Linked DNA regions of Oryzias latipes. The protein of the gene in region 1 binds, or shares a complex with, the protein of each later gene. Links are inferred from orthologs where the notes say so. Each region holds a gene or a part of one and is shown on either strand. Other genes may lie near its edges.

Region 1 (3,823 bases):
GGCTGAGGTGAAGAAGGTGCAGGAGTTTAAGTACTTGGGGTCAACAGTTCAGTGTGATGGGGATTGTGGAAAAGAGGTGAAGAGGCGAGTGCAGGCAGGTTGGAGCGGTTGGAGGAAAGTGTCAGGAGTGTTGTGTGACAGAAGAGTGCCAGCAAGACTCAAAGGAAAGGTGTACAAGACAGTGGTGAGACCAGCTCTGCTCTATGGGTTAGAGACGGTAGCAGTGAGACAGAGACAAGAGGCTGAGATGGAGGTAGCAGAGATGAAGATGTTGAGGTTCTCCTTAGGAGTGACCAGGTTAGACAGGATAAGGAACGAGTACATCAGAGGGACGGCTCACGTTGCCTGTGTTAGCGACAAAGTCAGAGAAGCCAGACTGAGATGGTTTGGACATGTTCAGAGGAGGGATAGTGGATATATTGGTAGAAGGATGTTGGAGATGGAGCTGCCTGGCCGGAGGGCAAGAGGACGGCCAAAGAGGAGATATATGGATGTCTTAACAGAGGACATGAAGTTGGCTAACGTTAGGGTAGAAGATGTTCATGATAGAGTGAGGTGGAAAAGGATGATTCGCTGTGGCGACCCCTGATGGGAAAAGCCGAAAGAGAAAGATCTTAATTTCTTTTATCTGTTACAAAGTGTCTCCTTTACCAACAATCACGTCATCTGCTTTGGTCACATCCTTTTTTTTTTTTACTTTATGAAACGGTATTATTTCCTGAAAACAGAGATATTTTGCCAGTCACTGAAACAATTTATTTAAACAATTTTTAGACAGCAATAATAAAACTAAATAAAGTCAACTTTATTTAGAAAGTGCTTAACAACGCTGGGTAAAAACAAAACAACAAACAAAAACAAACAGCATAAAATCAATAAATTAAACAAAAATAAATAAAACCCAATAAAAACCAATAAAGATCTAACTTAAACAGTCGGGAGTCCAAGACCTGATTCTTCAGGCAGCCAACAGTTTCCGGTGAAAATATTTTTATTGATCCCCTCATGTTGTTTCCTAGTTTTTAAATAACTGAACCAAGATGAGTGTGGAACCTCTCTAACAGCAAAGATCCATTATTTTATCAAGTAGAAATTAATAATCCATTGTAACAAATCTCTTTCTTTAAAAAGAAAAAAGGAAAAGTCTGTCCAAAAAGGATATATCTCCATCTAGTGGTTTGATAAAGGAATTACAAACAAACTCAATATTGCAGTTTATTTTGTTTATCAGCGTCTGGAGGACATAGTAAAGCACAGACAGAGCAGATGGGTGTTTTGGGAGACATTTATAAAAAAAACGGACTTTTGAATGTTTTGTGTAGTAATTGCTCACTGGTATTGCCTCTTTTGTTTTTTAAGGCTTCTGTTCCAGTAGATGTAATGCCGGGCCAGTATGATCCAACCAACTACACTCTCCCACAGCAACCTCTTCACCCATGTATGTTCCCCTTATCTTCTGCATACAACACCCTGCAGCTGGTCTCTAATCCATTTGAAGCCAGCATTGATGGAGTGAGGTACGCAGCATCATCATTCACACGATTTTTGTCATCAAGCGTCTTGATGCGTCGGGTTAAGCGTCTTGCTTAACCTGAAATGATCTTGCAGGCGTGTGGAAATTTAGACTCTAGGTTTTACCGAGTACCAGAGCAAATGGCCTAAAGCAGCATCAACCGCTTTATTGTCAGACAAGATTTTCATAGACTGGCCTTTAGGCTGTGATGGACATAAAAACTATTATTTTCTATTTTTAATACTCTGGGTTTGCAACTTTATCAACAATGACTTCCTAACTTGATAAAGGTTGGTAAATGCATATGTTGCTGAGCCTGCTTGTATGGGAGCGACCTATGAATCCATATTTTAAGTAGAGACTTCAATGCAGATTGTTTATTTTTTGAAGTTTCTTCCTCTGTGGCTCTTTTCTGCCTAAATAAATTTTCCAAATATGTTTTTTTGTTGTTGACTTTGCTAGCTTGGGGTTTTCATTTTGGCAGTGATGTACTAAGTGTCACGGATGTGATCAGCGTCTTTGAGAAGGTAGTGGCTGCAGGTAAGACACGTGACCAGGGCGAACCCTTTGACTGAGGGACAGACAGTTTTGGCAGAAAGTTTTCCAAAATAAAACTCAGTTTTGAATCAAATTGCAAGCCATGTATGCTTTTTTGTGAGGCCCGGTACCAATTACTCAGATCCTTCAACGATCAGAGTTTGTACCCTGACCTTAAGAACAAACTGTTAAAGTCCTACTCTGATCATCTTTTGATCTATTTTAAAATCAGTGGTCTTTAAGTATGATTATGCCGTTTTTAGAGGGGGGAAAAACAAGACTTTCTAAGACATCATTTCTGCAGAGCGCCAGGAGTTCATTAGAAATTTGGTTGTGAGTGAGACTGCTGGCACGGTGCCACGGTCCCCACTCTTCCCGTCATCGCTTTGTTTACATTCTGTCCCGCTAGCTTACAGCCCCTCACAACCCCATCCTAACATTAGCAGCGAAACAAAATGGCTTTTTTCAACAGCATTTTTGTCTGCTCCTGATTCACAACAAATTGAAGTAAGAAATATTAAAAAAAAAATCAGAATTTGATCTCAACTTTATTCATATGTGTCCTCCACCATCAGAAAATTACCACAAGAACATTTTTAAAACACCAAAAGCAGGATTTTTATTGGAGTGGGTCTTTAGTTGCTGATTCTGGCCTGGGTTCTTTTTTGGAGCATTATGGGAAAACCTCATGGATCCTCCACATTAAGTCAACAACAGAGGCCTTCATTCAGAAGCTTCCCATCTGCTGTGACAAAGTTATAACGACCGCCAAGCCAATGACTCTGAAGGATTTCAGAAAATAAGTTGGTACAAATGTTCATGCTCACCTTTGGAGACTAGGAAAGTATTTTTGAATCGAGTTGAATATCTGCAGTGGTTCAAACCAAAACACGGAAATCTTTATGAAGCAAATTGCAGTGTTTGCAAAGGTCCTTCAGATTTCTCTCTTGTTTCGACTAAAATCTGAATAATCAAGTCAGTGGTTGTGTCTTTTTCTCAGACGTTTGGTCAATGTCACTAAGTGGTTCCTCATTCATGTATTCACTTACATTGGAGACATTTTCCTCATAGTGAAAACTGTGAGGAAACGGTATTTAACTCCTGAAGTGGCTGCAAGTTTTATTGATATTTTTAAGCAAACTCCTGCTCAGATTTTACCTGCACCTTGTGATTTTATTGTTGGTCATTTTAATAACAGATTCCATAGATGCAGTGGCTTCATTCAAAACAAAAACATTAAGAGCCACTCCTAAAATCCCATGGAAGACTGATGACATTAAGCGTCTGAAGCAGAATTGCAGGAGGGCAGAGAGGAAATACAGGAAGACGAAATTGATAATTCATCAAGACATTTTAAAAGAACAACTCAAAATCTACAATAACTCAGTTAAACGGGCCAGAAGCTCTTATTTTTCAAAAATCATTTCAGAAAATAAAAACAACCCTAAATTTCTTTTTAAAACCATTGATGTTTTAAAAAATAAAGACTTCAACAAGTCCTCCATGCCATCATCTAATGCTGCATGTGAGGACTTCGCAGACCACTTCATGGGTAAAATCAATGCTATAAGATCAAACATTTCATCCATGCAGTACACTGATCTTAACAGACTAGCATTGTTTTTACCAGAAAAACACTGGGGAGTTTTGTCCTGGTTGATGCGGATATGCTTGGTCGAGTTGTATCCCAAGTAAACACTACAACCTGCCTTTTAGATCCCATTCCCACTTCACTTTTTAAAACATTTTATGGATTCTTTGAGTCAGAGCTTT
Region 2 (4,277 bases), on another chromosome or scaffold:
AGAGATCACCGCGCACCCACAACTCCAACCCCGCCCCCCCACCCCCCCACTGCTCTACCCTCTACAACCCTCCTCACCCGCCATATTATCCGACCCCTCCTCCCAAAACCCCCCCTAATGCCCTCCCCACTCTGCAATGGGGAGGGCCCCAGAGGATCCCGGTGAGCCATGCACTCTCCCACACTTGCTCACAATCTCCTGGATGTCCCCCACCCTCCGTCGCCACGCAGTAACCCCTTCTGGTCCGATCGACCCCCAAGCTCGCACGCCCGACCACCACTGCAGCCGACAGGATCCCCACAAGCCTGGCCGCCCTGAGAGGACCAGGCGGGTGAAGGCCGGCCGCCCCTCCCAGACCCCACCGATGTATGGTGGGTGTGTGTGCTGCAGGCAAAATAGGAGGTCTCCAGTGTGGAGGGCCCCACTGCTGCCAAGCAGTAGAGCCCCCCCACTCCGGGGTCCCTCTGTGATTGGTGTGTGCTTGCTTTGTGTGTGCTGCTAACATTCAGTGTGCAGTGTGTGTGTCTAAAATGCTAAATGAATCATCATTTTTTTAGGCCTCTACACGCTTAAAACAATGTCTTCTGTTGTTGCTGCAGCTGTGATTGTCAGGATTCCTTTCAGAATTTTGTTCAATCAATCGTTTTCGGTGACCAAACATATGTGAAAGAATAATCAAAACATTTATACAATTCTATTATTCAGATTTGAAATCCTGATTGGGTGATTGGGATTGAGATTTTTGCAGTTAAAAAAAAGCGTTAGGGTTCATTATCTCTCTCCAACATCAGCAGGAGAAAGATCGGCCCTCATACCCACTTCACTTTGAGCGCCGTTGCGCTCAGTTGTCTTTACGCCCTTTCACTTTATGGCAGAGATGAAACGCTATACTTGTTTGTCAATAGAAAATTACAGAGCCCTTGACATGATATTATATATATATATATATATATATATATATATATATATATATATATATATATATATATATATATATATATATATATATATATATATATATATATATATATATATATTGTTCCCTCAAATAAAAAAGTTGTGGCCACAGCTTAGTGTTTTGTGTGCACAAATTGGTGTTTCGTGACAATAAATTAACATTTCATTAGCATTTTGCGCTCAATCAGTTCAAGTCAAAGTGAACTACACGCGGTAATACCTCTCCCAACCGCTAGAGGGCAGCCGCGCCATCCATGACAACGGAAGCAGGTGCATGAACGTGACACCAGAAAGGAAGTAAATAAAGCGCCTTCCCGCGCAGTCAAATTAGATCAGGAACACCTTTACACTGAAACAAAGAAAATGGATGAGTTGTACTTGGATAATATTGACGAATTTGTGAACGATCACAACAAAATAGTAAGTACAATGTCAGATTGGGTTTTTGTTGCTGTGATGTTTGTAGTTTAGCTTCCCACAAGCCTCGAAGTGCCGAATTGTTTACCTTGTTTTTAAAAACACTCATCATGCGTTGAATTATATTTGCTTTATCTAGAAAGAAGACGAGCTCTGTTTTCTACTCCAACTCATGTATTTGTTGAGGTTATTAATAATTCAGCCATTGAAATGTAGTTTTACTAAACTGCAGAAAAAAATGCTTCTACAGTTGATTAGATTGTCGGTTTCTTAGTTTGAAAAAAACTTTGACTAAAAGAGGCTGATAATTAATATGTTTTATGTTTGTCATCGTATATAAAGCCCAGAATGTTTGTGTAAAGAATTAGTGTGACAGGATCAACCTGATTGATAATCACTGATCTGTTTTCCAGGTTACCTATAAATCGTTGAGTCTGACACTTGGAGTCCATGTAAACACAGCAAAGCAGTAAGTGACCCAGCTTCACTTCGAGTGGTTATTACATTCAGATTTAATCTAAATTAAAATAAAAAGGAAAAGAAGAACGGAGTGTTTTTTAAAGACTCTTAAAATGGTCTCTGTAAAAGTAAATGACCTTCAGTCCAAGTCAAACAAAGCTGCTAAACATTATATGTCCAATTTTAGTATATTTTTAAAATGTTACTATCACCTGCCTAAGAATTTGCATTTTCTTTAAGATTGAATAGAATTGAATAAAACTTTATTGATCCCACAAAGGGGAAATTACCTTTTTACCATGACTCTGTTAAAGGAAATAAAAACTAAAATTACTCTTTAAAAAAGGTGTTGTGTAAACAGATTTAAAGAGAAAAGGTTTAACTTCTTTCTATAAAAACAACAAAGCAGAAATAGATTTTTTAAAATATAATTATTTATGACCTGAAAAAGAAAACATTCGTTTTAATCCTAATAAAATGTGTAAATTGCTAACTTTGCAGAATGCTTTATCATTACTTGGAGCACAAGAGGAAGGAGAGCTCACCTCAGCTGCATGCAACCTACCTGGTAACCGGGAAGTTTGTTGACAACGGTCAAACTGTGAGTAACTGGGACAGCTTCTGTCCAGGACGCTTTGACAGCTCTGTCTGATTCAATTCATGTTTGAAATGTCCTCCTTTCCAGTGTCACAAAGTGTCGATTGTGAGAGAAGATCAGTTGGAAGGTGTGTTGATGCTTTCCGTAGCGCCGTCAAACTGAAGTTTCTTTTCATGATCATTTTTACGAAACGGCAAAGAAAATAACATTTTTGGAGTCCAAATTTTCATTAATGCTTGTTTTTCTGGCACAGTTGGGCTAAAATACTTGATGCTTTCTTTTGCAGATTTCAAATCAAAGATGAGCCTGATAGTCAGCGTTCATGTCTACAGCGTACAGAAAGCTCTGCTGAAAGACAGCGGACCCCTTTACTCCGTCGACTATGACGCCGTGAAAGACCATCTAAAGAACTGCAGCAAGTACGAAGGATTTTGGTGATGCGTGGACAGAAAGCTGCAGATCTAGCAGGTGGTGACCGCTGCCTTCCTCTCTTCCTGCTCCTGCAGGTACAGCGCCATTCAGTGTTCCGGCGCCGTGCCCGTGTCTTCCCTGGAGCGGCAGCAGGCGTTGAAAGCACACAACCCTCCTCAGTCTGAGCCTGGAAACTCTGGGACCAACAGAGAAACCAACCCCGCTTCCAAGGCCCACCCCAGACCGCCAAAAGGCATCATGGGAATGTTTTCAAAGAAATCTGCAGTGAAGAGTCAGAATACAAGCGAAGAAGTCAAACCTGAGCAGAAAGATGAGCCAGCAGTGGTAGGCTGCTGCAGCTTCTTCTTCTTATTCTGCCCCGCAGCAAAAATGTCCCCCCCCACCTAAACTCTCCAAAATAAAATTCTCCCAAAACTCGCTGAAAATACGTTTTGGACGCGGTGAACGACCCACATTTAAAAAAAATCACAACAGGAGAAACTGTCAAAGAAATGAATCAGACCCAAATGTCTTAAAGGGCTGAAAACGTTATATTTCAAAATCATCTAACAAAACCAAGACACACGTATCGGGGAGATCCAGAGAAAGTTTAGAAATGATTATGGGATGGCCATAGGACCTACAGCTTGTTTTGTGGCTATGTGTGAATTTTTGACATTTTTGCACAATAAAGGAAAAAAAACTTTAGTTCGAGCAGTTTTCCCCAACAAAATTTCACATCCAGGCCACCGTCTGAAGTCTATAACCCCAACCAAAGTTTAGTCGAACTTTGACCTCGATAAGAGCCCGCCATCTTGGATTTAAAACCCCTCTCCCATTTGTGGCGGCTACAAACAGGGATTTTGTTGTGTTGAGCATCACCTGAAAGCTGCTAACGGCGTCCGCTTGGCGACTTCACAAAAGGGTTGTTCCTCCGTTTCTCACACATTCTTTACCAGAATATTGGGAAAATTCAATATATGACTCGTTGGCTCAAGCAAACTAACCATATAAATACATGAACATATGAGGAATGTGGGCGCGGATAACAGCCTAGTAAATCCAAAAATGGACTTTTGCTGATTCTTGTAAAACTTCATGGAGCTGTTTGCCTAAATGGGTGCTATGGATATAAAACTAACAGAAAAGCCTCCATTTTACGGGAGGACAAAAGTGTTTTTTGTTTTATTTATCATGAATTTGTGCCATGCTTTATTTAGTGTGTTCCTGTTTTCTGTGTTGCTTCTGGCACCTATGATTATTGTGTTTTGTAGGTGGATACTGCTAAAAACAAGCCAGCTGCAAAAGCCAATCCAATGATGAACTTCTTTGGGAGTCAAACAGCAAGTCAGTTCCATCATCAATACAGTTTATTACTAACCAAATCCTATTTCCAGCTTCCGTTTAGTGTGTCGACATCAGAAAATTCCATATC

What was found.
Region 2: pold2 (region 1) and pold3 share a complex: the UniProt entries of both Homo sapiens proteins name them as parts of the both the DNA polymerase delta and DNA polymerase zeta complex. The link is inferred for Oryzias latipes from reciprocal best matches to the Homo sapiens genes POLD2 and POLD3.

Annotation. Positions count from the first base shown.
Region 1 is NC_019867.2:18,717,147-18,720,969, reverse strand, and holds part of pold2 (DNA polymerase delta subunit 2), read left to right. Parts: intron 1-1,359; coding exon 1,360-1,517; intron 1,518-3,823. UniProt on the Homo sapiens protein: Accessory component of both the DNA polymerase delta complex and the DNA polymerase zeta complex.
Region 2 is NC_019875.2:1,861,756-1,866,032, reverse strand, and holds the start of pold3 (DNA polymerase delta subunit 3), read left to right. Parts: upstream 1-1,221; 5' UTR 1,222-1,320; coding exon 1,321-1,377; intron 1,378-1,787; coding exon 1,788-1,843; intron 1,844-2,334; coding exon 2,335-2,434; intron 2,435-2,518; coding exon 2,519-2,558; intron 2,559-2,717; coding exon 2,718-2,850; intron 2,851-2,937; coding exon 2,938-3,187; intron 3,188-4,116; coding exon 4,117-4,189; intron 4,190-4,277. UniProt on the Homo sapiens protein: Accessory component of both the DNA polymerase delta complex and the DNA polymerase zeta complex.